Linked DNA regions of Oryzias latipes. The protein of the gene in region 6 binds, or shares a complex with, the protein of the main gene of each other region. Links are inferred from orthologs where the notes say so. Each region holds a gene or a part of one and is shown on either strand. Other genes may lie near its edges.

Region 1 (3,500 bases), on a different chromosome or scaffold from region 6:
TGGGTTTTCTTTTACTCATGGATACTTTTCTGTGATTCCAATAACACGTAACGCAAAACCTATTTTTTTTTACATATCCTACCTTTTGAGTGGAACTGCATCTGCAGCCACCTCTAAGTTCATTTCCTCCAGGTTGTCTAAGGGAAGTTCAGGTGGACTGAATTCTGTCTTATCAGTTCTGGGAGTCCTGAAGCCTCTCCACCAGCTGACCCCGTTCTCCCGCTGCCTCAGAAGATCCGTGTACACAGCTGTCTCGCTGGTGATTGCTCCCACTCCCGAACCCCCATCTGGACACACGGTAGCATCCAGAGGCACATCTAAACCCTCTGGATCCTGCATCCGGGGGTGCGGACTCAGCGTGGGTGGAAGGGGAGACATTGGTGAATGAAGAAGGGACTCTGGGGGTTTCCTGCCATTTGACATGGGTTTGGAATATTTGCAGGTTGGCAGAGAGGCCAGGGTCTCCATGGGTGGATCGAGTGCAACAATGCCACCCATTTGAGGCCCTCCAGGTGAGTCCTGTTCCAAGGGGCCGTCCTGCGTGACAGTTAGACGATGGTGAAAAGGGATCACTGAGGGTTTTTTGGATTGTTTGTCGGTTTTTTCTGTCTTGTCACTTGTCTTGTGTTTAGGGAGCGAAGGAGGATACAACGACGGACCAGAGGACTGTGTGGAGCTGCTAATAGTCTGAGTGTTTGTTGCAGAGGTGATGGCCATATTAAACTTTTGCTGCTTTAACCTGCAAAAAAGGGAAAGTAAGATATTCAAAACTTATTGAAAAAACAATATCTTATAACTATTTTACAGAACAGCTTAATTGTGACCTAAAGATACCTGGAACAGCTGCAGGGCGTTCTAGATCCCAGATCATTAAAATTCCATGTTGTTACTCCGTTTGGCGCTTCCTTCCTCTGCGTTAACTCAGTTGCTCTGCAGAACACAAACAAATCCATGAGGGGGGGGGGGGGCTAAATTGCTTTAACTGGCTAATAGTGGCAATTGCTTCAGAAACAAGGCAATAATGTTTCGCATACAGATGCTGAGGCTGGTTGAGATAGCACTCCTTCCAGGCCTGATGGACCACATGACACGTAAGCTTCTTCCCAGAATGTTTCGGGCTGATGCTGTTGATGCCCGTGCTGCTGTCTGGTGTGGGGACACTGGAGACGGAGGTCACAAAGCCACTGTCCGCTAAAAAATGGAAAATATGGCGTGATGGGACAGAAAGATTTGAGGCGTGTGTTTCTATTTTCAGAAAAGACGGTTTCCTCCATAAGGCATATAAATACATTTTTTGGAGGGATTTCTCAAAGAATTTGTAAAAAAGTTTTAAATCAACAAACAGTAAAGTGCAAATGACGTGCTGTGGTTACTGCCCTTCTTTCACAGTTATGTTTATATGAAGCTGGGAATAGCATAAGCATTAAGGTGCTTTTAATTTTGACTGTAAAATTATTGTTTTTTATATAAAAAAATTGTTTATGTAATGAAAAATATGTGCTTAAGTTTGATTCATAGTTCTGTTACATTTGCCTGAACTGAAAAAATATGCTTAAAGCAGAAAATTGTTTTTTTCTTGGACTAATGTTCATGTCTGGGTTTTCTTTTTTCTTTTTTTTACCAGAGCATGGCTGCTCAGGGGATGTTGGTGGAGTCAGCGGCACACTGCAGTTGTTTGGCTCCTTGGTGAGGCCCTGGGCCACAGAAACAGGAGGCTGCTCCACTGGTAGGTCTCCTTGGGTAATCAGCACAAAAGCAGCTGGGTAGGTCATCCTTACTCCCCCTAAGAATAAACAAAAACAGTTGTTTTTATTGTGTTTTGACAAAATGTTGATCTCTGCTGATGCACTTGAATTTTGCAATCCGTTTTATCACACGGCACTTAGATAAGTAAAAAAACAAAAGCTCAACATTTTCTTTGTTACTATCATTGCTCTTTACATGTAGCACCACTGGTATCCAGAGGAGTTTTAATTGTAATCAGGTCAAGTCGGCGCTGTGGGATCAGACTGATTAGGCTGTTAGAGAAACTCCCTGGAGTTCATACCTCAGCTTCCCGACTGCTCCTCTCCTGCCTTCCAGCTATTTCCCCTTTTCCACTCTCAGGTGTATTACAAAGATTGAGAGGATCTTTGCAGTCAAAGCTTCTCTATTCAGTAAAACCACAGCTCAAAATGTCTGAGTCTACACCAGGGTTATAAGTGAGGTGCAGTTCCTTCACTATTTAGTTTAACAGAGAACACCAAATGTGGAATATTGTAAATATTCACTGATGTTTGTAAAAGAAGAATCTCCATTCCTTAATTGTGGATTCAATAGAATAAAGTACCTTCAGTCTATAAAATTGGTTTTATTATTTTGTTGACCATACCTACGATGACCTCCACTGCCACATGACTGCAGCGATCACAAGCCTGGCCAGCCTCTCCTTTCTCCTTCTCACCACTTCCCTCCTTTTGTGGATAAACCATTGGATAAAAGTAGCTCCACTCTTCTATGAGCTTTCGTACTGCCGGGTCACTCATCTTGTAGGCTTGACCAGTCAGAGTGCCACTCAGACTGTATGGACTCAGCACAACTGTAATGAAAAAAGATAGTTTAAAGACTCAAAGTAAAAGTAAAAAGTAATCATCACAAAACAAACTGACAAATTATAACAATTTAAAATTTAAGTATTTCTATGCAGCCATAATCTATTTTTATTTTAAAAAAAAGATTTTTAGTACAAAAATGCGTATGTGAGCATGACCTGATATTGACCTGTTTGAATATATATGTGTTTTAGTCTTTTCATACTCTGAATGTTATCACAGACATAAATATAAACCATCATGCTGCATCAGAATGTGTGCAAACTTAGTAAAAAAAAAGTGCTAATTAATTTGTAAACCCTAAAATGGACAGCTTTTTCCTGCCTGCATCAAATCAGGCGTCTGCAACCTGCGGCTCCGGAGCCACATGTTGTAGTTTTACCCCTCTTTGCTTAAAGAAAAATTAAAAAATAAAAATTTCTAGTAAAAAGTATAGTATAGTAAAAAAAAGTAAACTAATTGAAACTTCATTTAACTCAAACATTTTGACAGATTTTTGTATGCAATTGGACGTCAGTATTAAGGTGCACCAGATTGTAAGGCGGATTTTGTTTTATAGATTTATAGATTAAGGGGCCCACTGTTTAATTATTTTCAAATGTTTGTTTGTTTATTTTTACATAAAATAAGGTTCCAGCTCCTAAAACCCACAAAACTAGGACTTCAGAAAAAATACGTCAACTCTTTACTAAACTTTATAATTATTATGAGAAAAAAAAATAGAAAACATATTTTCTATGAGTCAAACATCAGGTTCAAATGTCAAAGTACTTGAAAAGCAACTGGTTTGTGGTATTACCCTGAACTGGGGTGGTAGAGGTCTGTGCAAGGCGGATGTGGTGATCTGTGATGTGGTATGCAGCTTGGTGCTGGACAATCTCCACGCTCGTGCACACATTGCTCTCCCCG
Region 2 (3,500 bases), on a different chromosome or scaffold from region 6:
AAGATCAGACTTGGGGAGGCTGTTCAAATGTTCTGAAGTATTCGAGTCAGGATTTGCCCCCACCAGAGGGGGGCACTGTTCAAAAAGGAATCAACCTTTTCTATGTCCTGCAGCAGACCTGGACTGCAACAACCTGATTGTTTTTGCGATTATTCTCTCTAAGCGCGCACTTGAGTTTTCCCCACACACTCCAAAAACTCACTACAGTTTGCACGCACCTGGTACCTGGAGAAAATGAATTTTGGGCATCGTGAACGAGCAATCTTGATGAAATTTTACACCTGCCGCCAGGTTAAGTCTATGACCACAACCACAAGTTTTGTTGACCTTTGATGTTGGGAAGAGGACACCGTCTTGAATTTTAAAATTCAATCCCCTTTATTACCTTATACAAATTTAAACTAGGGGTTTCTGTCTATCTTCTCCTAACTCCTCGAGAATCACTAGGATGCAACTTGGTAAAAAATGTAGATCCATGTAGTAGAAGATGTACATCTTTGGATAACACTAGAAGAATTAGAAGTGGTCGATTTTTCAGTGGCTTTAGCCTGGGGAGTTCCCAAAAGTGGCATTACCTTGATGCTCGCACATTTTTTACTGGGAAATTGTGAAAAGTTGAACAAAATGGAATGACACACAATATGATCATATTAAGAATATGGGTGTGGTTATCAAAAAAAATCTCTGTTGCCAAGGAAATCCAAAAGATCACTTCTCCCGATTCTTCTAAAAATTTGACTTGTTCGTCTCCCCCAGGGAACCCAAACATAAAGTGGTTGCTGTAGAGATAAAGCCAACAGCCATTTAGAAGATTTGTTTTGTTTTTTCTTCTTCAAGAATTTGTCATGTGACCGTGACCGTGACCAGTGTGCCAGGGGCAGAAGGGGGCAGAGGGGGGCATGTCTGTGGGCTTTAAGATTTTTCTTGTTTGTTTTTTTTGCCCTAAAAAAAAACTTTTTTTAGCTTTTAGCTTTTTAAATAGCTTTTTATTTTGGTTAATGGAAATTCCAATTTAATGAATTTAAATCCCAAAGTATGTGCATCCTGTTTTTCGTTACCAAACACAGATGGTTCTTGAATAAGGTTGAAAATTAATTTGGTGTTCTGGTCGTTCTAGTTGAGCCTCTGGAAGCATCTCTGGTAGCTGGAATTGTGTTGTAAATAAATTTGACATATTTGATCCCTTTATTTCTTTGTGGTTTTGAAATCTTTGTCTTCCATTTTTACCTCAGTGCCACCGCCTTTATTTATAAACCAAACACTGCAGACTCAGCCAGGAGTTTTACTCTGACCCTTTGTGCTGTGTTGTGTGTTCACAGAGGTGTGCAGAGTCGGAGGTTGTGGATGAGAAGGGCTCCGTGTCGTCTGGCTCCCTCTCGGCTGCCACATTACCCGTCTTTCAGGATGTTTTGCTGCAGTTTCTGGATACTCAGGCTCCCACACTCAGTGAGTTTTTCCGTCATCCTGAAGCGTTTCATGTGGGATTTGTCTCCTGGTCTCAGCTTTTATTACCCCCCGCATATTTATTCTGATTTGTCTTATCTGAGAAATCCTCCTATTAAATTATTCAAATCCTCTTTTCCCTGATTAGCGGAGCCCGGGAACGAAAGTGAGCGAGTAGAATTCTCCAACCTGGTTCTTCTCTTCTGCGAGCTCATCCGTCACGACGTCTTCTCTCACAACATCTACATGTGCACGTTGATTTCACGTGGCGACCTTGCTTCTGAGTCCCACCTGCCCCGCCCGCGTTCGCCCAGCGATGACGAATCAGAGCGCAAGGAGCAGGATGCAGGCAGCAGTGTCAAGATGGAGGCATGTTGGAGGCATCTGTTGTAGCTGAGTAATGGAACCAAATGCCAGAAGTATAACAGCGTAACAAGGCTGGTTTTATTATTTCTCCAACAGGATACTGGTCTGTCTGAGTCCATGGAGATCGAGCACAACTCCAGTGCTAATTTTGATGAGGTAAATGAAGCCTCTCCCGCCTTTAAAATCAGCGTCAGTAAAGGAAACAGAGCAGTCCTTTAGAGGTTTGTCTTCACTTGAGGGGACTTTTTGGTCTCATCCTGCAGATGTTCTCACCTCCCATGCACTGCGAATCCAAGGGAAGCCCTTCTCCAGAAAAAAACGCTCCAGATCAAGACAGCAAGGCCAACTGTAAAGACAAGAGCATGGACCCTGCCTTTCCTCAGCTGTACGACCAACCCCGCCACATTCAGTACGCCACTCACTTCCCCATTCCACAGGTAAGAGCACAGGTAAAGACAAAGAAAAACACCACACGTCTGCTCTCTTCAGGTCATGGAGTTCAGCCTGTTTTACTTTGACTCTGTCTCTAGGAGGAAAGTGCCAGCCACGAGTGCAACCAGCGTTTAGTGGTCCTCTACGGCGTGGGCAAACTGAGAGATGAGGCGCGACACACCATCAAGAAGATCACTAAAGACATTTTGAAAGTGCTGAACCGCAAAAGCACGGCAGAAACAGGTGACGGTGCATCCCAGCGCGTCCCACTGTGGCGGATCTGAAGGTTATAGACAAAGGTCAATATGGGGTCAAATCAGGATCAGCAAGTGAAAAACCTGATTCTAGATCAAAACATTTCAACTCAAAAGCTTGAAGAAGAAAAAATTTACATTTCAAAAAATAATTCTAAACTTGTGGAAAAACTGAAATTAGAAGAAAAACTTAAAACCTAAAAAACAAAAACTTTTACCAAATGAAACATGTTTCTTTGTAACAGCTGCAGTTTTGTGTTTCGAAATTTAGTTTTTTCGTTTCTCTCACTCTTTGCTTTCAGTCCTCAAGTTAGTTTCAATTCACCATTTTCTCTTTTGGATTTGTCCCTTATTTTATGTGGGGGGTGGGGCTTGGAGCCCATTGGTCACCAGGAGATGACAGACATTGAGTTAAAGGTCATGGTGACATCATTTCCATCTGTTGTTGGCGCCACCCGAGTCATCCCTCCTCTGATTTTCTGGAGCGGAAATGATAATACTATAACCTCTGTCACACCATGTCAATCATGTCCCGATAGCCAATGGGCCTGAAGCCCCACCCCCACATGCAATTCGGCTCAAACAAAAAAGTAAAATTCTGAGTTGAAACTGTCAATTGAGGACTGAAAACGAAGCTGGAGAGAGATTAAAAAAGCTGCTTTTACAAAGTAACTATACAAATTATTATTTTTTTTCGATTGGGAACCGTATGATGTTATTAGTTTAATTATTTCACGTTTTTTTCCCTCCAAATTTCCATATTTTTATTCAAATTTAACTTCTGGTTTTTTGTTCTACTAACCCTGAAGACCCCATACCTGGAATATACCACATGTACCACACTCTAAAGAACAAACTCTCTCTTCCTTATCAACCCAGAGGGTGGATTCATCTCTATCTGTAAATTGCTTTCATCTTTTTTTTTTTTTTTTTTAGAACTTATAATTTATTCAAACTTTTTGCAACAGAGCATTACACACGGTTGTCTCCATGGTTTCCACAATA
Region 3 (3,242 bases), on a different chromosome or scaffold from region 6:
CAGAAACTGCTTCTCCCAGTGCGGGCCACTCTTCATCCGAGTCTGCATCCCCAGATTCAGGACCTACAGTTACAGGAGTGTTTAGAACTCACATAATGAAAAGATGCAGATCTAGATGTATGGAATCACCCAACTAACTACAGAAACGAGTAAATGAAAACATTATTACTTCTATTTTTAAGTATTTATTTACTGAAAGTATTTTAATTTGGAGTGTTTACTAAAACCATCATTAGTGAACAGTTAACTTTATTTTTAAGTCATAGCATTAGTGCATCCCTTAGCAAAAAGTAGTCTATTTAAGTAAACTACAAGTATACTGTCTATACTAAAAGTAAAGCAGTAAACTAGAATTTTCTTTTTATATACATTTAAAATTTTCCAATAAAAGTCTGAAAAAGTATTCAGTTACTATATGTCCTACACTACACGTACATGGTCTATACTTGTACACTACTACACACTTATTACTCAAGTATCCTTAAGTAAACTTCAAGTGTACTTGTCTTTGTTAAGGGTAGATGGGTCTGAATTGTGATGAATCTGTGATGCAACTTTACTAAAGTTGGTCATCGTTTTCTTCGGTAAGAAAAACTAGAACAAGAGAGAACCTTTAGAAACCTTAATCAACGGCTTCTGTTTGATCATTTTCTAAACTGAAGCGGATGTCCTGGTTCTGATCCAACATTACCAAGAACAGTGACCGGTGTCGCCTTCTTCTTCTCCGGTACCAGCCCATATTCGGTCTGAAGCTCCTCTTGCTGAATTCGGGCTTGCTGTAGGATTTTCCGCGACAGCCGCTCGTCTACGTAGGTGTCGTCGCTTTCTGGCCGCTGGTCTCTGCTCTTAACCCGGTTGCGGGCTCGGACCGTGTCCGTCTGCAGGATCTGGTCAGCCAGCGCCACGGATCCAGAGCTCTTTTCTCCTCCACCTTTAGATTTCTTCACTTTCGGCATCGCTACAGCTCCAAAAAAATTTACAAGCTAAAGCCTGTCTATGCCTTTTTAGTGTGTAAACACCCAGCTGTTTAGCACGTGCGGACAAACGGCATGCGCGACAGAGGCAGCGGAAATACATTACGTCACATCCGGTTTCATTAAAAATGTTTCGAAACATTATATATGAAAGAACCTATGTTTATTAACTGAGTTAATCAGTTTAACTCAATTCGTCTATGTTCACTTGTATTTTTATTTTATTTTTTCCTTTACCGGAAGTCAATTTGTTTAACCGGAAGTAGTTGCGAAGGAGGCAAAACAAAAATGGGAGTAACTTGGTAAGGAATATTTTGGCTCATTAAAGTGTAATTATTATTTCAACATAGTTTGGTTTCGCTATGTTTATAGGACCTGTCTATTTCAAATGTTTGTTCTTTTGGGGAAAGCGTGCTCCTCCCCTTCATGGATGCGTTGGGTTGTCGCTGCTCAGTCGGGTGTTTTGTCTTTCAGTGTTTGTCAGGTGCCCATAGCGGAGGGCAAGAGTGTGCAGCAGACCGTGGACGTCCTGCAAAAAAAGCTGGAGCAGCTCGGTTCTGTGAAACAAGGCAGCTTCTGCGTGGATTGTGAGACATACCACGCCACGGGAAACGTTGTCGGTAAGCTCGCTACTTTTTCAAGCATCACGCGGGAAACATATTAGTAGTTATTTATTCATGTGGTAATTAGTTGTGGTTGCTTAGACCTTTAAAAAGCAATTAAAAAAAGGTGATTGGCATATGAGCTCCGTTTGTGCCCTTGCATTTAATTGGTAGCATTTTTAACAAGAACATTCAGGGCTTTTGCTAATTCTTCCTTCAGACACATCTGCAGTAAATATGGGACACAATTAAGCATACATAGCCACTTTATCTTATGTGTGTTTGTCAAATTATCTTGAGAATATTTTACAAATTAGATAAGGGTCCTATTAGTTCTACTGGAGTGTGACGACAGATCACCCCTTCAGCTGCACTTTAATGGCTCTGGCCTTTTATGGTAGAAACCATCTCAAAGCCTTACTATAAAACCAAATATTGTTTAAGGTTTTAGACTTTAAAAACCTTTTTTACATCAATAACAGATGTGCCTTTATTTGAATCATGGATGTGGAGTTTATGTATTATTGAGTTGAATGCATCATCCAGTGTTTCCCGTCTGTCACAGGTCAGCCCTCCAAGCTCTTATACGTGATGCATAACTCTGAAACCCCTCTGAGCTGCATGGCCCTATTCGAAGGAGGACCCTACTTAGTAGCTGATGCTAACTTTGACGTCCTCATGTCCAAGTTAAAAAGTCATTTCCAGAACGCCAAGGGACACAAGGTGGAGAGTCGAGGCTCCCGCTACCGATACTGTGACTTTTTGATAAAGGTGGGCACTGTGACGATGAGCTCCAGCGCCAGAGGCATTTCAGTGGAGGTATGGAAATGCAGTTTGTCCCTTTCAGCGGGACGGGTGGACATGATGTGCCCTGTGTGTTTTACTGCAGGTGGAGTACTGCCCCTGTGTGGTTCCTGGGGACTGCTGGAACCTCATGAAGGAGTTCATGCAGTCTTTTCTTGGCACCAGCGTTCCCGAACTTCCATCTGTGTTTGCTGCTAAACCCGAAGGGCTTTTTGCAGCAGCGGACTGTGTTGACACCATGACGCAGTACTTGGAGTTGTTCAACAAACTTCGTAAACTGCAGATCCCAGGGAGTAATGTACGTTAGGTCAGGAAAGCAAACTGGCCTTTTTGTATTTTATTTTCTTTTGGGGGGGGGGGGGGGGGGGGGTTGTATCAAATGCTTGATTATGTTTTTCTGAAACTTTTGAAAACCAACTTCTGGAACATTTATTTTAGGAACTTAGTTGAATGTCTTTGCAATAAAGAAATCAGGTGGAGGTAAGAAACCAGAGCCTTTTTTTAATGTAGCTGATGCATTTTTTAGTTCAGAAAATGTTAGGTGAACTAGAAGGAGCCGCATTTCCAGAAGAAAATTCAGGGTTGAATGCTATATTGTTGAATGAAAATGAACCTTTAAAGGGTAAGAATTGGCACAAAAAAGGAAAGAAATGATCAAAGTTGAACAACAATAAAGTGAAAACAGCACAATAACAAATAGATACGTGTGTGAAAAATGCCAGAGGGATCAAACCAGCGAGCTTCTGCACCAAGGATTCCCCATGGATTTCTATGGAGGCAAAAATCCTGGAATATCTGGAAAAGTTCAAGGATTTGAAGGACTATAAAGCACAAGCCAGTCTCATACTTGATAAATGTCAAT
Region 4 (4,202 bases), on a different chromosome or scaffold from region 6:
AAGCAAGACACCCTTGGATCATCTCCACGACTCTCTCCAGGTGTTTTTGGAATCTCTCCGCCGTCTCCAACCTCTGCCTCTTCTGCACCTCCATCATCACCCTCAGAGTCTCCCTGGCTTGGTGCGGCCTGTACTCGTTGATCAGATGATGCATGTGAACAAACAAAAGCTTTATGTCCTCCATCTTCTCTTCGCGTTTAATATTACCAGGACTTTTGATAAGGATGTCTAAAAGGTCCAGAAAGTTTACGAGAATGGACATGTTCAGCTTCTTGAGCTCCCGTTTGTGGTCAAACTGCATAGGATGCAGCCTCTCGATGCCTTGGCTCTCCAGAGGCCGAATAATAAGGTCGTCGCACTGAAACTGATTGCCAAACATCATGTAGCTGTCTCTGATGGGCGGAGGCGGCTTTGGCACCAGACCTTTGCGAATGTTTTCATCTGTATACTCCTTGATGTACTGCATGGGCGGTGGAGGCAGTGCGCTGACCTGCTGTGGTTCACCCATTTTGCAGACCTAAAAATTATAAAATAAATAGAACTACAAGTTAGAAAGAATCCAAACAACAAATACACAGTCATGCACCTGATAAGATCCCACTGTTGTGGCGAGTTCACGGGTCTCACTTATATGAAGTAAAACAATCTTTAATGACCCCCTCATATGTTCTGGGTGATGGCATCAGCTACCTCTTGCATAAACGCTTTCTCCAGTCAGTAAAGTCACAGTCATGATAGCACTTTGTCAAAACTATGCCTTTTTAATGTGCCAAAATAATAACTTTCAAGAAAAAATATCCTTATTTATTCATTTTCTAAACCCGTTTTTGTCCCTTTCAGGGTCACGGGGCTGCCGGAGCCTATCTCAGCAAAGGCAGGGGACATCATGGACAGTTCGCCAGTCTGTAGCAGAGCCACGTTCACACACCCATGCACACTCACACCTAGGGAGAATTTAGTAACCAATTAACTTATGAAGCTTGTTTTTGGACGGTGGGAGGGAGCTGGAGTCCCTGGAGAAAAACCAGGGGATCACGCAAACGCCACAGAGAAAGGTCCCCCAGTGGTGATTCTGTTTCAGGTCCCCCAGCTGGGACTTGAACTGGGGGCCTTCTTGCTGTGAGGCAAGAGCGACAACCAAGAAGAACATGCATCTGTGGAGCTTAAACATATACATGTTTTTAGGTTAGAGTAGATAAGTATTAAATGCAGATTAACCAACAGACACAGGAACAGATGTACAATGTTGACACTTAGCCTAATATTACTAGTTTTGTATATGCATCCACAAACGTTATAATTATTTTAACACGGTTTACTATAGTTTCTGTTACAGATACTTATTCAATAATACATTGTTTTACAATATATTTTTCAAAAGATTAAAGAAAATGTAGAGGAATTTTTAAGTGAAACATTTTTTTAAAATTGTGAGAAAAGACTTATACAGGTTTCCATAATCAGTTTTACAATACCAAAAATAATTAATCAATAAAGCCATTTCTAAATGCTGTGGAAAATGGCATAAAGATGTGACAGCTTCCATTGCATTATAGTTACCTGTGGGACAATTAAACAGATTTTTGATTGATTCCTAAACTTCTTTACATCCTCATGTTTTTTTAATTGAAACAAATTGTCTGTGCTACTTACCGGTAACTAAAAATCCAAATTATTATAATTCCTTTATCTATAAGAAAACAGTTTTTATTCAATTGAAACATGTTTAAATTTATATTATCTATCACTATCCCCCCTATCAGATTGTACTTGTTAAAGAATATGATTTTTTTCTGTGTGATTTAACACCATTTTTTCAAAATGCTTATTTGTTGTGCACATAACCTTATAATTGTTCTGCTATCAATTTAGCAAATACAACTGAATTAGTAGATTTTATATTCAAAATTAAAAAATAAATAAAAAAAAAACTGCAGAGTTTAAAAAAATGTTTAAAGAAAAGCCATCCTGATGTAAGAAGAGAACAAATGAGGGTCAAAAACAAGTCAAATTGTGGATTTTAGTAAAGAGAAGTGCATACATGCACATTCTATACATTAAAAAAAACACAGCTTTTACAAAATGCATATTTGTTGATGTCTGTTTTCAACACTTTGTATCATTGTTATTGAAGGAAAGAAAACAACATTCAAATCAGAGAAGGATATGTCATATGGTCGGTGCATGTTTTAACTTGAAGATTGCCACGATCAGAGTTTACCGTAGCCAAACGAGTCGTTAACCGCTCCAACCAATAAAAGTATTTTTTCCCACGCGTTTTTTTTAGGATTTTACACGTGCTCACAAGAAGTACAACAACAGATAATGTTCACACATCACATAGCTAAACCTGTTTTCTAAGTAAGAAGGCGGACAAGTCGACAACAGACACACACATGATCATCACGATTCATTTTGAGAACTATGTCAAAGTCAAACCTAACGTAACAAATCTCGAATTATTCCGCCGTAGTGCATTTAGATACCACATAAAAGCCCACGTATATACTAACTAACAGTAAAAGTTATTACAAAAACCTAATTAATAAAACCGCTCCGTTGATGTTTGGCTAACAACAAACGTCGTTTCCTGCATCTGCTGAATAATACAGTCTCTACAGTCAAAGAAACAGGTCTGTAACACGAATAAAAGGGTTACATTTATAACTGATTATTGTACAAACCTGTTTAACGACTCAATTGGTTGAGTTTAGATGAAAATTCTTCTAGCCAGTTAGCTCCTGACTAGCTTCGCTTTATTCATTTCCCGGTTGAGTTTCAGATGCCAGGATTGGACAGTGACCCGGAAACAAACTCGACGTTGATTGGTTGCGTCGACAAGCCTTTAAAGTATTTCATTATTAACCTTATAATTAGTGGGTTTTATTCAAAACTAATCTCTTTCCTGTATTAATTGTTTTAAACTTTTTGTTAGTTTTTGTTTGTTTAATATAGTGAGTTCAGGTTCTGATCCTGGTAGGCCTATAAATCTTAAAATATGTTCTTAAAATAAGCTGCTTAAGAAATCAAACCCAAGCAAAAAAAGTTCAGATCTGTAACCATAAAAAAGGGGGGGGAGGGGGACTCTAATTTTAAAAATGTATCTATCATTTGTTTTTACGCCCTAAATACAGTAGGGCAGGTGAAAGTGTCTAACTTTGAATTTTATGTTTCATTTTCTACTTAGTCAATTAGCAACACCTAATATTCATTCTTTTTCTTTTTTTTACACTTAAATAAAAATGGTCAAACTATTATAAGTAAGCTGACTTCATCTTGACCCTGACACTAAATAAGAATGACATGTAACATTTTATTTTATAAACGTTGTCATAGGCCTAGTGAATATTTAGCAGAGGGCAAAGGTTGTGCTTCGGAGTGTGCAAAACAAAACAAGAACATCGTATTTGAACCAAAATTGAAAAGAAAAATAAGAATCTTTCTAACCCCAAAGAAAACATAGCCTCATGAAAAGTACATCAAAGGTTCCATATTGTATTTGGATACATTTTTCTTAGAAACCAGACTTTTCTCTTTTGCTGTTTTCTGCATTTAGTGATTCATGAAACCTTGACATTCTTAGTGTTTGTAGGATATAACTTATCATGCATTTTACATTTTTAAAAATTGCATTTTTTTCATTTTTAAGTTTTCCTTCAGTAGTACTTTTTTACTACAATTTTGATACAAGCGGAGAGTTTCTTTTAAATGAAGAAAAAAGAAAATTTAAAAATTCCGAAAAAAAACCCCAGCTATGGCTTCTTAGGTATTGATTAACAGTGTTATTTTTGTTTTTAGCTTTTGATTTAATATGAAAATTTAAATTGTTTTCTAAAACATTTTTGTTTAACAACCAAGCAATTCTGACAAAAAGCTTACATTTTTATGCAAAATTTGATCAATAGTACATCAAAGGTTCATGTTAAAAAAAAAACCTTTATTGAGTTTAACACAACATACGTGATGATACGTGTGTGTATTTGTGTGCACATCAGTGTGTGATTGCTTGCACAGAGTGTTGCCACAAGGATGTGGTTTACTGCATGCAACTAACCCACGCCGGAAACTCTTCGGCATCTTCAATGTTTGCATTCTCCCTTTTTTTTCCCCCCTGCAGTCAGAGGCTTTCAGTTACTCCGTCCAATACCACCCAGTGTCTCCAGTGGTGTTATTCTCAACTGCTAACCATGTTTCCTCGGGTG
Region 5 (4,228 bases), on a different chromosome or scaffold from region 6:
TGTTCGTTATTTTTCTCCAAGCAGAAACTCTTTCTTTTGCTTTCTTTGGGGTGCAAATTCTGAGGTTTTTACTTTCAGAGTTTTAATGAGCCTGAGGTTTTAACAGCTCCATCACACCTTTTCTATGTTCACCCTCTAGCATTTCCTTTGCTTTGCACTTGCTGTGTTTTCAGAAGACGGACAAGTGTGAGTAATAATCCTTTACATTTTCCACAAATCATAAAGTGACTAATCATTTACTAATCATTTTCCACTAATCATTATTTCTTTATTTGCAGGTGGAAGAAGAACCCTCCATTGTTTATTCCTTAATTGCCTTTAGAACCCCTGCAAAGACCAATGGCCGTGAATTAGCCCACAATGAAACCATTTACAGTGAAATAAAATTCACAAAAAGCAGTTTGGATAGGTTGAGCAGGTAATTGTTGCGATATTTTAGCAGTTCTGAAGTTGCCTTAACATGGATTCTGTTTTGTGAGTTGAAGTAAACTTCACCCTACAAGGTCCAAAATGGAAACCCTTAGAAGGGTTTTTTCCATTGTGTCAGAAAATGAATAACTGCTTGCTAATTATCTTTATGAAATATAGCATTGCTTTGTGTCTGTACCTGATACTGTCAGCAAGTGCTTTGAAAACAGAAAACAAGTTCCTTTAAATTATTCTGAACCATTATTTTTTCTGACACAAATTTTGTTAAATATTTTTTCTTTAAAGGCTTCGGAATCCGTCAAAACACAGTTTTTATATCTTTATTATTTTATGTGTAAAATATGCATCTGATGGAATGTTTGTCATTTACTTTAAAAGGTTAAGCACAAATCTTAAAAAAGTTTGTGAACCTCAATCAGCCAAAAACTATAGCAGCATGTCTGAATTTTAAATGTTTTATTCAATGTTTTAAAAAGAAAATATTTAACAAAAACTAATTGTAAAAATATTGTAATTGTTGTGAAGACAGCATCTGAGTTTTAAAAAAAAGGCCCACAGAGCTAGGCTTTTATTTTTTTATGTGCCAGCAATTACTATTACAACATTTTCGGTATGAAATCTACATATATATTTTTATTATTTTTAAATATGTGCAAGGTTTTCAAATACATTTAGTTACTTATCTGCACTGATAATAGTTTCAATTTTTAGAGCACGTTTTGGTTTGTGAGTGTTTTTGTAAATCAAATGACTTGAAGTTGATTTTTAAAAAAATGTTATTTATGGATTGTATTTTTAAAGTAACCCCTGTTTGGGTTACTGTAATTGATCCTTTTTCTACATTGCTAAAATTTAAGTTCAATAAGTGTATTCAACGTGTACTTATTGTTTTATCATTTGCCTAAATACCTGTTTGCGCGGAAAAAGCTAACACAGAAAGTTGCTTCCATGAATGGTTATATTCCGGGGTTTCAGTAGGTGGCAGTAACGAGCTTTAAACTGGATTGAAAGCGCCTTTTAAAAACAAAAGCCAAGGAAGAACTTGGGCGCCTTTGTTTTCTGATTAGCATCAAATTTTGGTTGTTTTTAGAACGGGTTACAATATATATTTCATTAACACTTTTTTTATTTTTTAAGTTAAGTACGAATGCCTTAAATTACTTTGTTGATGACAGTAACAGCTCAAATCGTGAGTTGGTAATTCCATGTAGGCTAACTGTTAACTGGTACTAGCAGCCGTGTGGATATTAGCTAACCGGTGAAACAGGGGGCCCACCGTGGAAACCAACCACAAACAGCAAAAATATCTTAACTTTAGTCAGTTCTAACGCTGCGCCGAACTCTTTATTCTGCTCAGGTAAACCATCTTACTCTGTAGTGAGAAACGTCTACTGCTTTTGCTAGTTAGCATAAGCCTGCTATTGGTAGTTGTATTTGTTCGCTAATTTAGCTAACAACTGTTTTCTGTTTACTCATTCATTCATTGGTAATGTCACTCACATGTATCATCAAACAACTGCAAATGAAATAGAGTAGTCCAACAACACTTTGCAAAAAGTAGCCTATTTAGTTTACTACATGTATAATTGGCTAGTGGGACGATATACTTGAAGTAAACTTTTAAACACAATCTAGTATTGCTAAATTCAAAACATAAAATGTTCCAATTTAGTCTGAAGAAGTTTTCAGTCAGTTAATACTTCTTTCACAATATACACATGGTCTATCGTACACTTGTACTTATTCTCACGTGTCCTCAATGAAATAAACTTCAAGTGTAGTACTTTTTGCTAAGTGAATGACAATGCCATCATTCACTATTACTTTAAATCAGGAAGAAGATGGAAGCTCCTCCTGTCACAGTTATGCCCGTCACCGGCGGTGCCATCAACATGATGGAATATCTGTTACAAGGTGAGACGATTCAGATATAGAAGGTTCAACCAGAGATATAGAGGCTTGATATATTTACAGATAAAACGGTGTATTTTTCCAGAATACATATATTAGAAGCCAGTATGAAGTTCACTGGCTAAATTATTTGAAAAATAATGTTTACATCTTCATTCTGTTGCTAAAACCAACTTCTATCCATTAATATTAGTCTTTAAAAAAAAACTATTAAGTTGAGCTAATTATTTTTCCATCATGAGTGTTGGTGTAGCATTAAAGAGCAAACCACACTGTCAAGAGTGTGGAAAGAGTGCTCAGTTACTTTCTGTCTTGAAAATAATATATATTTCTAAGGTTTTCCTGTCCTGTTTGTGCTGCACTTTACTGGACACATTTGTATTTAGTAAACTGAAGTATTTAAGATTATATAGATGCATAAAGATTTATGGAAAAATAATCCTCAAGTCAGGAAAGCTTTTTTTAAATTTTTTTATTCATGAAACCTGTTATTCATGTTTTCATCACATCTGAAGTGTTTATTGAAACTGTGTTTGTAAAAAAAAGAGATCTAAAACGAACACTAATTTTAACATTGAACATTTTTTAATTTCATGATGGAGGATTATATGTTTAATATTCATTTTTAAAAAGTTGTATCACAGCAGGAAATAATTATAGTGGGAGTAAAGAACTTACTATATGAGTCTTTAAAGGATATTCTATTTTCTCGTTTTTTTCAGGCAGTGTTTTGGATCAGGCTCTGGAAAGCCTCCTGCATCGCCTGCGTGGTCTCTGTGACAACATGGAACCAGAGACTTTCACCGACCACGAGCTGGTTTACCTTTTGAAAGGCCAGCAAGGCAACCCCTTCATTCTGCGTGCCAGACGCTCCCTCTCCCACCCTACTTCTCCATGGCACCTGCGGTATCTAGGCCAGCCAGAAGTGGGAGACAAGAGCCGCCATGCTCTGGTTCGCAACTGTGTCGATGTAGCTGCCTCTCAAAGCCTTCCGGAGTTCCTCAATGAGATGGGCTTTCGCATGGACCATGAGTTTGTGGCCAGTGGTCACATATTTCGCAAAGGAGCAATGAAAGTTGTGGTTAGCAAGGTTTCACGCATCCTAGTACCAGGGAACACGGAAAATACAGAGCGAATGTCGCTGTCGTATTTAGTGGAACTGAGCATTTTGGCTCCGGCCGGACAGGACACCGTGTCAGAAGACATGCGCAGCTTTGCCGAGCAGCTCAAACCTCTGATTCATCTGGAGAAGATTGACCCAAGCAAGCAGAGACATTAAGCATTAATGGAAAAAAATGTTTTTGTTATTGTTTTCCTTTCCATTTAAATGCTTTTTAATGTGATGAAATACAGATTTACTTTGCTTAAACTGTTACAGTTGTGGTTAATCTGACCTGTCAGAGTATTTTTTTAATTTATTTTTTACTTTTTGTGCCTACTATAAAGAAAATATTATAGTAACAAATAGCTGGAAAATACTTAAATATATTTTAAGTTGACAAACATTTTGCAATGCCTCAGATGGCTTATGTTATTGCTTTAAAAATTTTTTTTTAAATCTTCAATTTCATTTTTTTATATAATAAATGTCCACCAGGGGTCTCTCTTTCCACAAGGATGGTCTTAATTGGAGCAAAGTGAACGCTACCTCTCATCATCTACAGGAGCTCTGGTTGCCATGGAAATAATTAGCTGTGCGATCTGCACATCGTTTACCCCACTCTAATTAGCTTTCTCAATTGCTTAATGATACATAGACCTGTGAAAGCCTTTCTTTCTTCCTTTCCACAAAAGCATTGATTTTCCCTCTCTTCCCCTTTCATTTCTACTGTTAACCCATTAGTATCCTTTCTTTTTTTCATGGGAACTTGAGCTGGGACTATTACAA
Region 6 (4,291 bases):
AAATTTATCCGGTATTTTAGTGCCAAACTTTTCCTGCCTTGCTTTGCTTTGTCTTTTTTTAGATCAATACTTAGCATTCTTACTTTCTTTTTTTTTTACATTTAGAACCGCAACACAAGTAGAGCAGGAATTTGTACATTGTGTTTCATGTGTGCTGTTCTCTAAGAAAAAATTACCATTAAAAACATGTGTTTTACAACAAATGGTAATTTTTGAAAAGTAAATCATTTAAAAAAATTGAAATTCTTCATTTATTCCCAATTGTTATGCATGTTACCATAAATATCTGATTGTTCTACGAAATGCACCCAAACAATTTCTGGTCACTCTAAAAATTGAAGTCAGTGTGTCATTTGTTGAGTAGGGGGAAATAAAACGCTTTTGGGCTGGGCTGACCATCTTATCTGAAACAGTTCAGAATTGTTCTTTGGTGTCTTCGGCCTGCCTTTGCTGACTCTGCTGCTATCCGGACGTGGCACTGACACAAGCACTACCAGATTAGAGAAGGTTTAGCTACTGTTCCAGCCTCACTCCCTAAGCTATGCCCACCCTCAGCACAGAGGGGGTCCCACTTGGCATGGCAAGGTGAACTAGCCCCTGATTGATGGGCATGGTTTCAGCTTGCTACCGTGCTCCCTAGGCTCGTGCCTCCTTTTCCTTTCCCCCACCGCCGTCTTGGCAGCAGTATCTAAATCCTCATCCATGCCAGGCAGCCAGCTAAAGCTCCTGGTGGGCACATCAATTACATAGCAGCACCTCCCCTCTTTTTCTCCTGTCTGTCTGCGGTTCTGTCTTCTGTCTCAGGCGATGCCAATCTGGTCTCTCTCCATCTCAAATGCTGTCTAAAGCTGTCTGTTGTGTGTGTGTTGTGTTGTACACATGTTCCTAAATACATTTTTGTGTATGCACAAATATATTCATGAACACACTCCTTGCTCTCTCTAATGGGCAAGTCCTAATGGTTGGTGGGAAATCCTCCCTTGAGAGCACTCATTGCCACAGGCTCAGTTATACAATAGACTCAGGTGTATGTATGCTGTGTTTGTGTGTGCAGGGCATGACTGCCTCTGCTCTTCATGTATTTATATTTTACTCCACTGCTTAATTCCACAACCTGTTAGTTGTTTTACTATGTTGTAAACATGGATATTTATATATATGGAAAAAAGGAATACAAATATGACAAAAAAGAAGGGACTATTCACTGATTGACGTTGGGACGTTTATTAAGAGATTTCTGCTTAGTTGCTTCGCTTTCATAGACAGAAATCATATTCTTGTGGTAGTGCGCCACCTGGCGTTTGTACCAATGCACTATTTGACAGCCAGAACCTTCAAGCTTTACCTTTATTTTCAAATGAATCAGCGCTGCTACACTGGATGAATGTGAATAAAATAAAATAAAATAAAATAAAATAAAATAAAATAAAATAAAATAAAATAAAATAAAATAAAATAAAAAGGTGTTCCGGAAATTTGCGCGAAGGAGGAGCGGACAGGGGACAATGGCGACCGGGCCTGTTGTGTCTGTGCAGAGCGGTAGCCCCGCTGGAGAACTCCCTATATCGGTACAGCAGGGAGGAAATCCAACTATTATAGATCGGGTAAAAGCGGACGATGTAACAGGTGCGATTTATTCATTTATTTTTATTCTTTTGCCTCATTTTGTTTCTTGTTGTGTCATTCATAGAGACAGGAAGCTGCTGCATTATGCTACAGGCTAAGCTAAACTAGCTGAACATAAACCAAGCGAGCACTTTCTTATCAACAAATTGGATAATTTTCTGATTTCTAAGTCACATAAAACAATCTTTTATGAACGAAATTTCTTGTGGCGCTTGACGTTTTTTTTTTGGTACGGTTGAATCAGCGAAAGCTAAAAGCTAAAGTAAACAAATACGTGCTAATATAACTTTATTCGAATTAGCAAAAACGGAATTGTGATCTTTAATAAATATTAGCATCTTGCTTTATTCACATTGATTTTAATGTGAAGGAAATTTCACCAACTGGTTATAAGTAACAAGTTATTACGTTTTACCAACTCATAATAACACATTGATTGTTTTGGTGTTAGCTTCATTTGACAGCAGAGTTTTGCGATTGTTTTGTTGTTTGTAGGTTTACATTTTTTATCATATCCGTTAAATTAAGCACACAAAATAGTTTTGCTGTTAGAAACCACTGCAAAGTTCATAGAATTATTCTTTAGTTTAATATTGTTTCAAACCTAGAATGATTTCAACCTTCACACCCTGAGGGCTTTTATTTATCTACGGTTATAATAAAGTGCTTATTTTGATCAACTAGATTTGTGCATTTCACATTTATGACGTTGCTATTATCAGGTATAAAGGCATTTATTAGAATGTGGAGATTGTAAAATTATACAAAAATACTACAAGCTATTACAAAAAGTGGTTTATACGGTGGCCGACAGAGCTCACACTACATACAAAAAAGACAACGCAACGACATTACCCGAAGCACAACGGCGTTCCCCGAAGCATAACGTACGGTGGCCGACAGAGCTCACACTACATACAAAAAAGACAACGCAACGACATTACCCGAAGCACAACGGCGTTCCCCGAAGCACAACGGCATTACCCGAAGCACAACGGCATTCCCCGAAGCACAACGGCATTACCCGAAGCACAACGGCATTCCCCGAAGCACAACGGCATTACCCGAAGCACAACGGCATTACCCGAAGCACAACGGCATTAACCACAGCGCGACGGCATTAGCCGCAGCATATCAATATTAACCTCCTCAGCACAACGGAAATGACGACTAGGCCGACAGAGCTCACACTACATACAAAAAAGACAACGCAACGACATTACCCGAAGCACAACGGCGTTCCCCGAAGCATAACGGCATTACCCGAAGCACAACGGCATTCCCCGAAGCACAACGGCATTACCCGAAGCACAACGGCATTCCCCGAAGCACAACGGCATTACCCGAAGCACAACGGCATTACCCGAAGCACAACGGCATTAACCACAGCGCGACGGCATTAGCCGCAGCATATCAATATTAACCTCCTCAGCACAACGGAAATGACGACTATTTTTCTTCCTACTGGCGGGAAAACATAAAGTCAGTTTCAACCTATTCGGGGCTCCTGAGAGAGGTACGTGATTTTTTCTACTACTATGAGGATCATAATGGTATTTTCGTTTTCTTACTAGATAACCTAATTTCTTACAAATATACGTTTGTTTGAAATATAAATTTACCCAGCTCTCCACATAGTGACCTCTGCATCTAACTTTTTGTCTAACACCGGGTTAGGTAAAGTTACGTTTGGTAGGTTAGATAGCTAGCTCATTAGCCGATTAGCTCGCCCCGCTCAGTCAGCTTGGTGAGGACACTTTAGCCTCTTCTAATCAAGAGTTGCAGTTGACAAGTGGTATGTCTTGCTTATCTTTTAAGTAAGCAAAGAGAGGCGCTGTAGCTGTGTTATTCAGACTTTTTTTTATTTAACAGTCTTCCAAGTATTACACCCTGACCGTGGCCGTGAATTGCAATCTCTTTTTTTTTATAACTTTATTGAGCAAATGCAAGTATACAACATGAAGAACAATCAATGCAGTATACAACATACAATCAATATACAACACAAACGATGTTAAACAGCCAGGGGAGTCGATTCATTAAATATTTGCAGAGAGTTACAAATTTCAATAGTTCTGAGAGCCTTTTTGTTGGAGGAAAAGGATATTGATTTTATGTAAAAAGTTACATCTTTAATGAATTGTGGGAAGTATGGTGTTTTATTAGTAAATTTACACTTATGTATGTAGAATTTTGCCAGAAGAATTAATAAATTAATTATAAAAAATACCTTTTGTTTTTTGGGGGTCCTGAAAAAACAAAGTAATACATTTTCCCATTTCAAGGAGAAATCTTTGAAGACATGAATAATGATGAATCTACTGAACTCCTTCCAAAATCTCTGTGTGGACAAACAGTGCCAGAAAAGATGAGTTACTGTTTCTGGGTGATCTCCACAGAAACTACAATCAGTATTAATATCTTTTTTAAATTTTATCATATAATGTTTGGCAGGGTAAATTTTATGGAGAATTTTAAAGGATACTTCTTTTACCTTATTTATTATTAAAAACTTATGAGGGATCGTCCAGACTGCTTTCCAGTTGATATCTGGAACAAATTGATTCCAATAATTTAAAATATACGGGGGAGAGGTATAAATCTTGATGAATTGCAATCTCTCATCAGCTTCCTAGCTCTGCGCAGTGCACCAACACGTGACTAC
Region 7 (3,500 bases), on a different chromosome or scaffold from region 6:
CAAACAGAATTTTAGTTTTTCAAATGTTAGGTGAATCTGGTAATGTATCAATGTTAATAAGATTTGAGTCACATTTTTCTGTCTTCAAACCTCCATCTTGGGTTCCTGAATTTGAGCATAGTAGGAAACAAACAAATGGTGCAGTTCCACCAAAAACCACTAGAGGAAGATTCCAGGAAGGAGCAGTATCCTGTTGACTCATGTGTAACCCTTGTGCTATCCTAGGCACCCACTAGACAGTGCTCTGAACCTTTTTTCTTAAATGATTTGTGATCCTCACTGGTGTCCATGGATTACATGAAATTTTTCCACCTTTAACCACCTTTGTCATCTTAGGGATTACATGGTAATGTAAGGGTGGGGTCACCTAAGATAGCACAAGAATCCCCAAATCACACCAAGAAATAAACATATTCACTCTGGGTTAAAGAATCTTTTTGATGCAATTTTTTTAATGACATCTCTGATTGGATGAAACGTTTTAAATCAATAATTTTGAGTTTTTAAAACTCAAATTTGTACATTTTTAAAGAGTTTAATTAATTATTTTATTTATTTATTTCGGTTGCCTCGTTAATGGACCCAAAAGAGCTTCAAACTGTATTTGGTTCTGCCTAATTGCAATTTTTGGAACTTTGTTAAGGTGAGCAAAGCAAACCCATTCCACTTCAGACTTTATTTCATCCTTCGGAAACTAAAGTGTGACTTCAGGAATTATCCGTCCAGTGGATATTTGGCTGTGTCTTTCTCCAATTAATACATACGTGCAGGACAGGAGGGTCCATAATTTTATTAATGTTGTTACCCAGAAATAAAAAAAGGTAAAAAACTAAAATTTTCTCAGACTTAAAATGTAGCCGATATGGGACCATGTTGCTAAAAGTAAATAATCTTTAAAATAAATAGACACATTTTTGAGTGTCACATTGTTGATTTTTTCAATTCAATTTAAGTCAATCTTATTTATATAGCCCAATACAACAATAGTTGTCTCAGTGGGCTTCACACCGGTAATTGTAAAAAACGGTAATTGTATAATAAACATGAAATCATAAAGAACATGGAGACATACAACTCAATAGGTAGTGGCTAAGCTAAAATAAACAGACTAAACTAAACTGTAAACTGGACATCCCTGCCCTTAGACCCTCCTTCCCTGTAAGGAAAAACTCCTTAAAAAATGGATTCCTGGAAAAAACTCTACAACTACATGTTTGAATAGTCCAGCAGATGGGCTTGATCCAGATGTGTGGCTGGATGGCTGGGGGCACGAGACGAGCCAGAGATAGGGTCCACAAACAAGTGTAGGAGCAGGAGGAGAGACGAGCCTGAGACAAGGTCAACAGCCAAGTACAGGAGAACAGACGAGCCAACTGGAATCACTCCCAGGACTGGGATAGAAGGACAATGCATGAATCGCACTGCACCAAGCAGAGGCAGGGAGAATTGAATGATAAATAAATTATCAAGAAGAGAAGAGAAGTAGGTGAGGATAGAGGACAGAATCCCAGTGCACCATACTTTCCCCAGCTTCTGGTTAGGGTTAAGCTTACGGTTCAGGTCAGGGCTAGGCTTTTTTTTTTTTTTTTTGGGGGGGGGGGGGGTGGTTTAGAGGAGAGTGTCGTCAGTGGTCTGTGGGTACGGCTGTGGATAGGTTTTGGTGTAGGCGGGATCTGGAGGTCCTTTGATAATATTTGTGTGGTTGCAATGGGATCAGATCATCCCTTGAAGTGTGTGTGTGGTGAAAGGGTCATGTCAGGTCAGGTTGTAGATGGGTTGAGATGCAGGCAGGATCTGGAGCTGCCTAATGGCAAATAATTGTTATTGTTAAGTTTAATTCAAAACATGTTAATACTAACTTAAATAGTATGTGATTACTAGCTAGCCTGGCAGTAAGCCATTTGTTGTAGTGTCAATTTCAAGTCTTTGTATGTTTGTGGCTTAAATGAACTAAAACCAGGTGGGGTTAAGGTTAGTGGCTAAATGTCCAACCAGTTTCATCCATGTGGTTGTGAACCAGGGAGGAAGACTCCTTTGTCAGAGTTCGCTCTGAGTGATGTTCTCATCAGCCGTGACACAGCAGAGCCCTGAACTCAGAGGCTGAAGGCCGGCTGTGATAGCGCTCCGGTTAGCTATCATCATCATCATCATCATCATCTGCTCATTGTGCACTTTTGCGGTGAAGGGCACAGATATGGAGGCTGGAGCTTGGAGAGAGCGCGTCAAAGGCAGATCAAACAGTGTGTTTGTGCGTGTGTGTGAGCGCAGGCCTGGCCAGCCGGGAGGAGTGGCTGCCAGAGAGCATGTTTTATTCTGTTTCATGTTGCAGACACGCCTGCCACTCACTGTCAGAGCAGCACGCTCAGACTGCTTCAAAGGCTGTCACACAATCAGACGCTTCATTAGCTGCACAAAACACATGCATGCTTTTGGACATACACATTTTACAAATATCCACACACATGAACAAACACATAGAACACACATGCCTACCTGACACACACACACCCACATGCACACACCTGACAGACCCCCGAGCTGGTTCTGTTGTGGAAGGTCGCCATATTTTATATTTTGTTTCTGCAGTATTTTCATGGCTTGAATAGCAGCTTCACTGCATCAGATCAGAGCTGCGCTCATGCACCTGCCATACTCACCTTTCCACCTGTCAGTGCCCACTGAAAGACTCCGCTCACATTTGAACAGGTCAGAACTGTACGATTTGGATTGGTCTTTCTTCCAGGTGTGCTAGACTCACTAATTTCCGGGAGAAAACAGTATAAATCCTGGATTTTGTGTCACTGCTGTAAATTGGATGGTTCTGACCCAAACAGAGCTATTGAAAATACACAGGCAATTTTCCCTTTTTTTCATGGGATCAGCGCTGTTTCTGCAGTCTGACATTTGTTTCAATGACGTTTGAACTGCTGTCCTCTCCACATGGGACTTCAGATCTGAAAGAAGCTGTGTGATGAGAACTGTGAGAGGATTCCACAGACGGGTTTAATTGAGGCTGAACAGAGTGGCTGGATCATAAAACGCTCACTTTTGCTTTGATGGCCTCTAGATCTGCTTTATATTTCTTAATTTTCCAGGATTTTGCTCCATAAACACAGAGTACGCTGTAACGCAATTTACTGTCAACTTCCTGTAAATCCGACCCAACCAACGTTCCATGTCTCTGGCAGATCCTCCGCATCTGTACGAGGTACACCCCCGACCAGGACACCATGACCTTTTCCGACGGACTCACCCTTAACCGCACACAGATGCACAACGCCGGCTTCGGCCCACTGACCGACCTGGTTTTCACTTTCGCCAACCAGCTGCTACCCATGGAGATGGACGACACAGAGACAGGCCTCCTCAGCGCCATCTGTCTCATCTCGGGAGGTAGAAAATTTGGTGGGGTACAGAAAGAAAAAGGGAGAACTTAGAAGGTGTGAACGGTTCTTTACATACAGCCGTGCAGATGTTGGTCATCCGAGTTTCAAAAATCT

What was found.
Region 1: med1 (region 6) and med13l share a complex: the UniProt entries of both Homo sapiens proteins name them as parts of the mediator complex. The link is inferred for Oryzias latipes from reciprocal best matches to the Homo sapiens genes MED1 and MED13L.
Region 2: med1 (region 6) and med12 share a complex: the UniProt entries of both Homo sapiens proteins name them as parts of the mediator complex. The link is inferred for Oryzias latipes from reciprocal best matches to the Homo sapiens genes MED1 and MED12.
Region 3: med1 (region 6) and med20 share a complex: the UniProt entries of both Homo sapiens proteins name them as parts of the mediator complex. The link is inferred for Oryzias latipes from reciprocal best matches to the Homo sapiens genes MED1 and MED20.
Region 4: med1 (region 6) and med7 share a complex: the UniProt entries of both Homo sapiens proteins name them as parts of the mediator complex. The link is inferred for Oryzias latipes from reciprocal best matches to the Homo sapiens genes MED1 and MED7.
Region 5: med1 (region 6) and med18 share a complex: the UniProt entries of both Homo sapiens proteins name them as parts of the mediator complex. The link is inferred for Oryzias latipes from reciprocal best matches to the Homo sapiens genes MED1 and MED18.
Region 7: the proteins of med1 (region 6) and rarb are in contact, whole or in part, in a crystal structure (PDB 1XDK), measured with the Mus musculus proteins. The link is inferred for Oryzias latipes from reciprocal best matches to the Homo sapiens genes MED1 and RARB. Residues at the interface, in NP_001073587.1 of Mus musculus: His642, Pro643, Met644, Leu645, Met646, Leu648, Leu649, Lys650, Asp651; in NP_001276689.1 of Mus musculus: Ile264, Val267, Lys271, Phe276, Ile281, Gln284, Ile285, Leu288, Lys289, Pro435, Leu436, Glu439, Met440.

Annotation. Positions count from the first base shown.
Region 1 is NC_019870.2:12,503,118-12,506,617, reverse strand, and holds part of med13l (mediator of RNA polymerase II transcription subunit 13-like), read right to left. Parts: coding exon 3,391-3,500; intron 2,579-3,390; coding exon 2,372-2,578; intron 1,784-2,371; coding exon 1,622-1,783; intron 1,192-1,621; coding exon 1,035-1,191; intron 931-1,034; coding exon 835-930; intron 740-834; coding exon 83-739; intron 1-82. UniProt on the Homo sapiens protein: Component of the Mediator complex, a coactivator involved in the regulated transcription of nearly all RNA polymerase II-dependent genes.
Region 2 is NC_019868.2:8,252,762-8,256,261, forward strand, and holds part of med12 (mediator of RNA polymerase II transcription subunit 12), read left to right. Parts: intron 1-1,319; coding exon 1,320-1,446; intron 1,447-1,591; coding exon 1,592-1,812; intron 1,813-1,905; coding exon 1,906-1,965; intron 1,966-2,072; coding exon 2,073-2,246; intron 2,247-2,339; coding exon 2,340-2,484; intron 2,485-3,500. UniProt on the Homo sapiens protein: Component of the Mediator complex, a coactivator involved in the regulated transcription of nearly all RNA polymerase II-dependent genes.
Region 3 is NC_019863.2:2,278,419-2,281,660, forward strand, and holds med20 (mediator of RNA polymerase II transcription subunit 20), read left to right. Parts: upstream 1-1,152; 5' UTR 1,153-1,262; coding exon 1,263-1,276; intron 1,277-1,448; coding exon 1,449-1,594; intron 1,595-2,141; coding exon 2,142-2,395; intron 2,396-2,465; coding exon 2,466-2,687; 3' UTR 2,688-2,742; downstream 2,743-3,242. Other genes in the region: bysl (bystin), read right to left, coding at 1-63, 692-956. UniProt on the Homo sapiens protein: Component of the Mediator complex, a coactivator involved in the regulated transcription of nearly all RNA polymerase II-dependent genes.
Region 4 is NC_019868.2:21,185,906-21,190,107, forward strand, and holds the start of med7 (mediator of RNA polymerase II transcription subunit 7), read right to left. Parts: upstream 2,801-4,202; 5' UTR 2,685-2,800; intron 518-2,684; 5' UTR 509-517; coding exon 1-508. Other genes in the region: itk (tyrosine-protein kinase ITK/TSK), read left to right, coding at 4,188-4,202. UniProt on the Homo sapiens protein: Component of the Mediator complex, a coactivator involved in the regulated transcription of nearly all RNA polymerase II-dependent genes.
Region 5 is NC_019874.2:22,764,196-22,768,423, reverse strand, and holds med18 (mediator of RNA polymerase II transcription subunit 18), read left to right. Parts: upstream 1-1,429; 5' UTR 1,430-1,786; intron 1,787-2,263; 5' UTR 2,264-2,270; coding exon 2,271-2,343; intron 2,344-3,062; coding exon 3,063-3,619; 3' UTR 3,620-3,728; downstream 3,729-4,228. UniProt on the Homo sapiens protein: Component of the Mediator complex, a coactivator involved in the regulated transcription of nearly all RNA polymerase II-dependent genes.
Region 6 is NC_019877.2:9,668,136-9,672,426, reverse strand, and holds the start of med1 (mediator of RNA polymerase II transcription subunit 1), read left to right. Parts: upstream 1-1,491; 5' UTR 1,492-1,505; coding exon 1,506-1,626; intron 1,627-2,927; exon of another isoform or gene 2,928-3,142; intron 3,143-4,291. UniProt on the Homo sapiens protein: Component of the Mediator complex, a coactivator involved in the regulated transcription of nearly all RNA polymerase II-dependent genes.
Region 7 is NC_019869.2:19,009,627-19,013,126, forward strand, and holds part of rarb (retinoic acid receptor beta), read left to right. Parts: intron 1-3,188; coding exon 3,189-3,393; intron 3,394-3,500. UniProt on the Homo sapiens protein: Receptor for retinoic acid. Retinoic acid receptors bind as heterodimers to their target response elements in response to their ligands, all-trans or 9-cis retinoic acid, and regulate gene expression in various biological processes.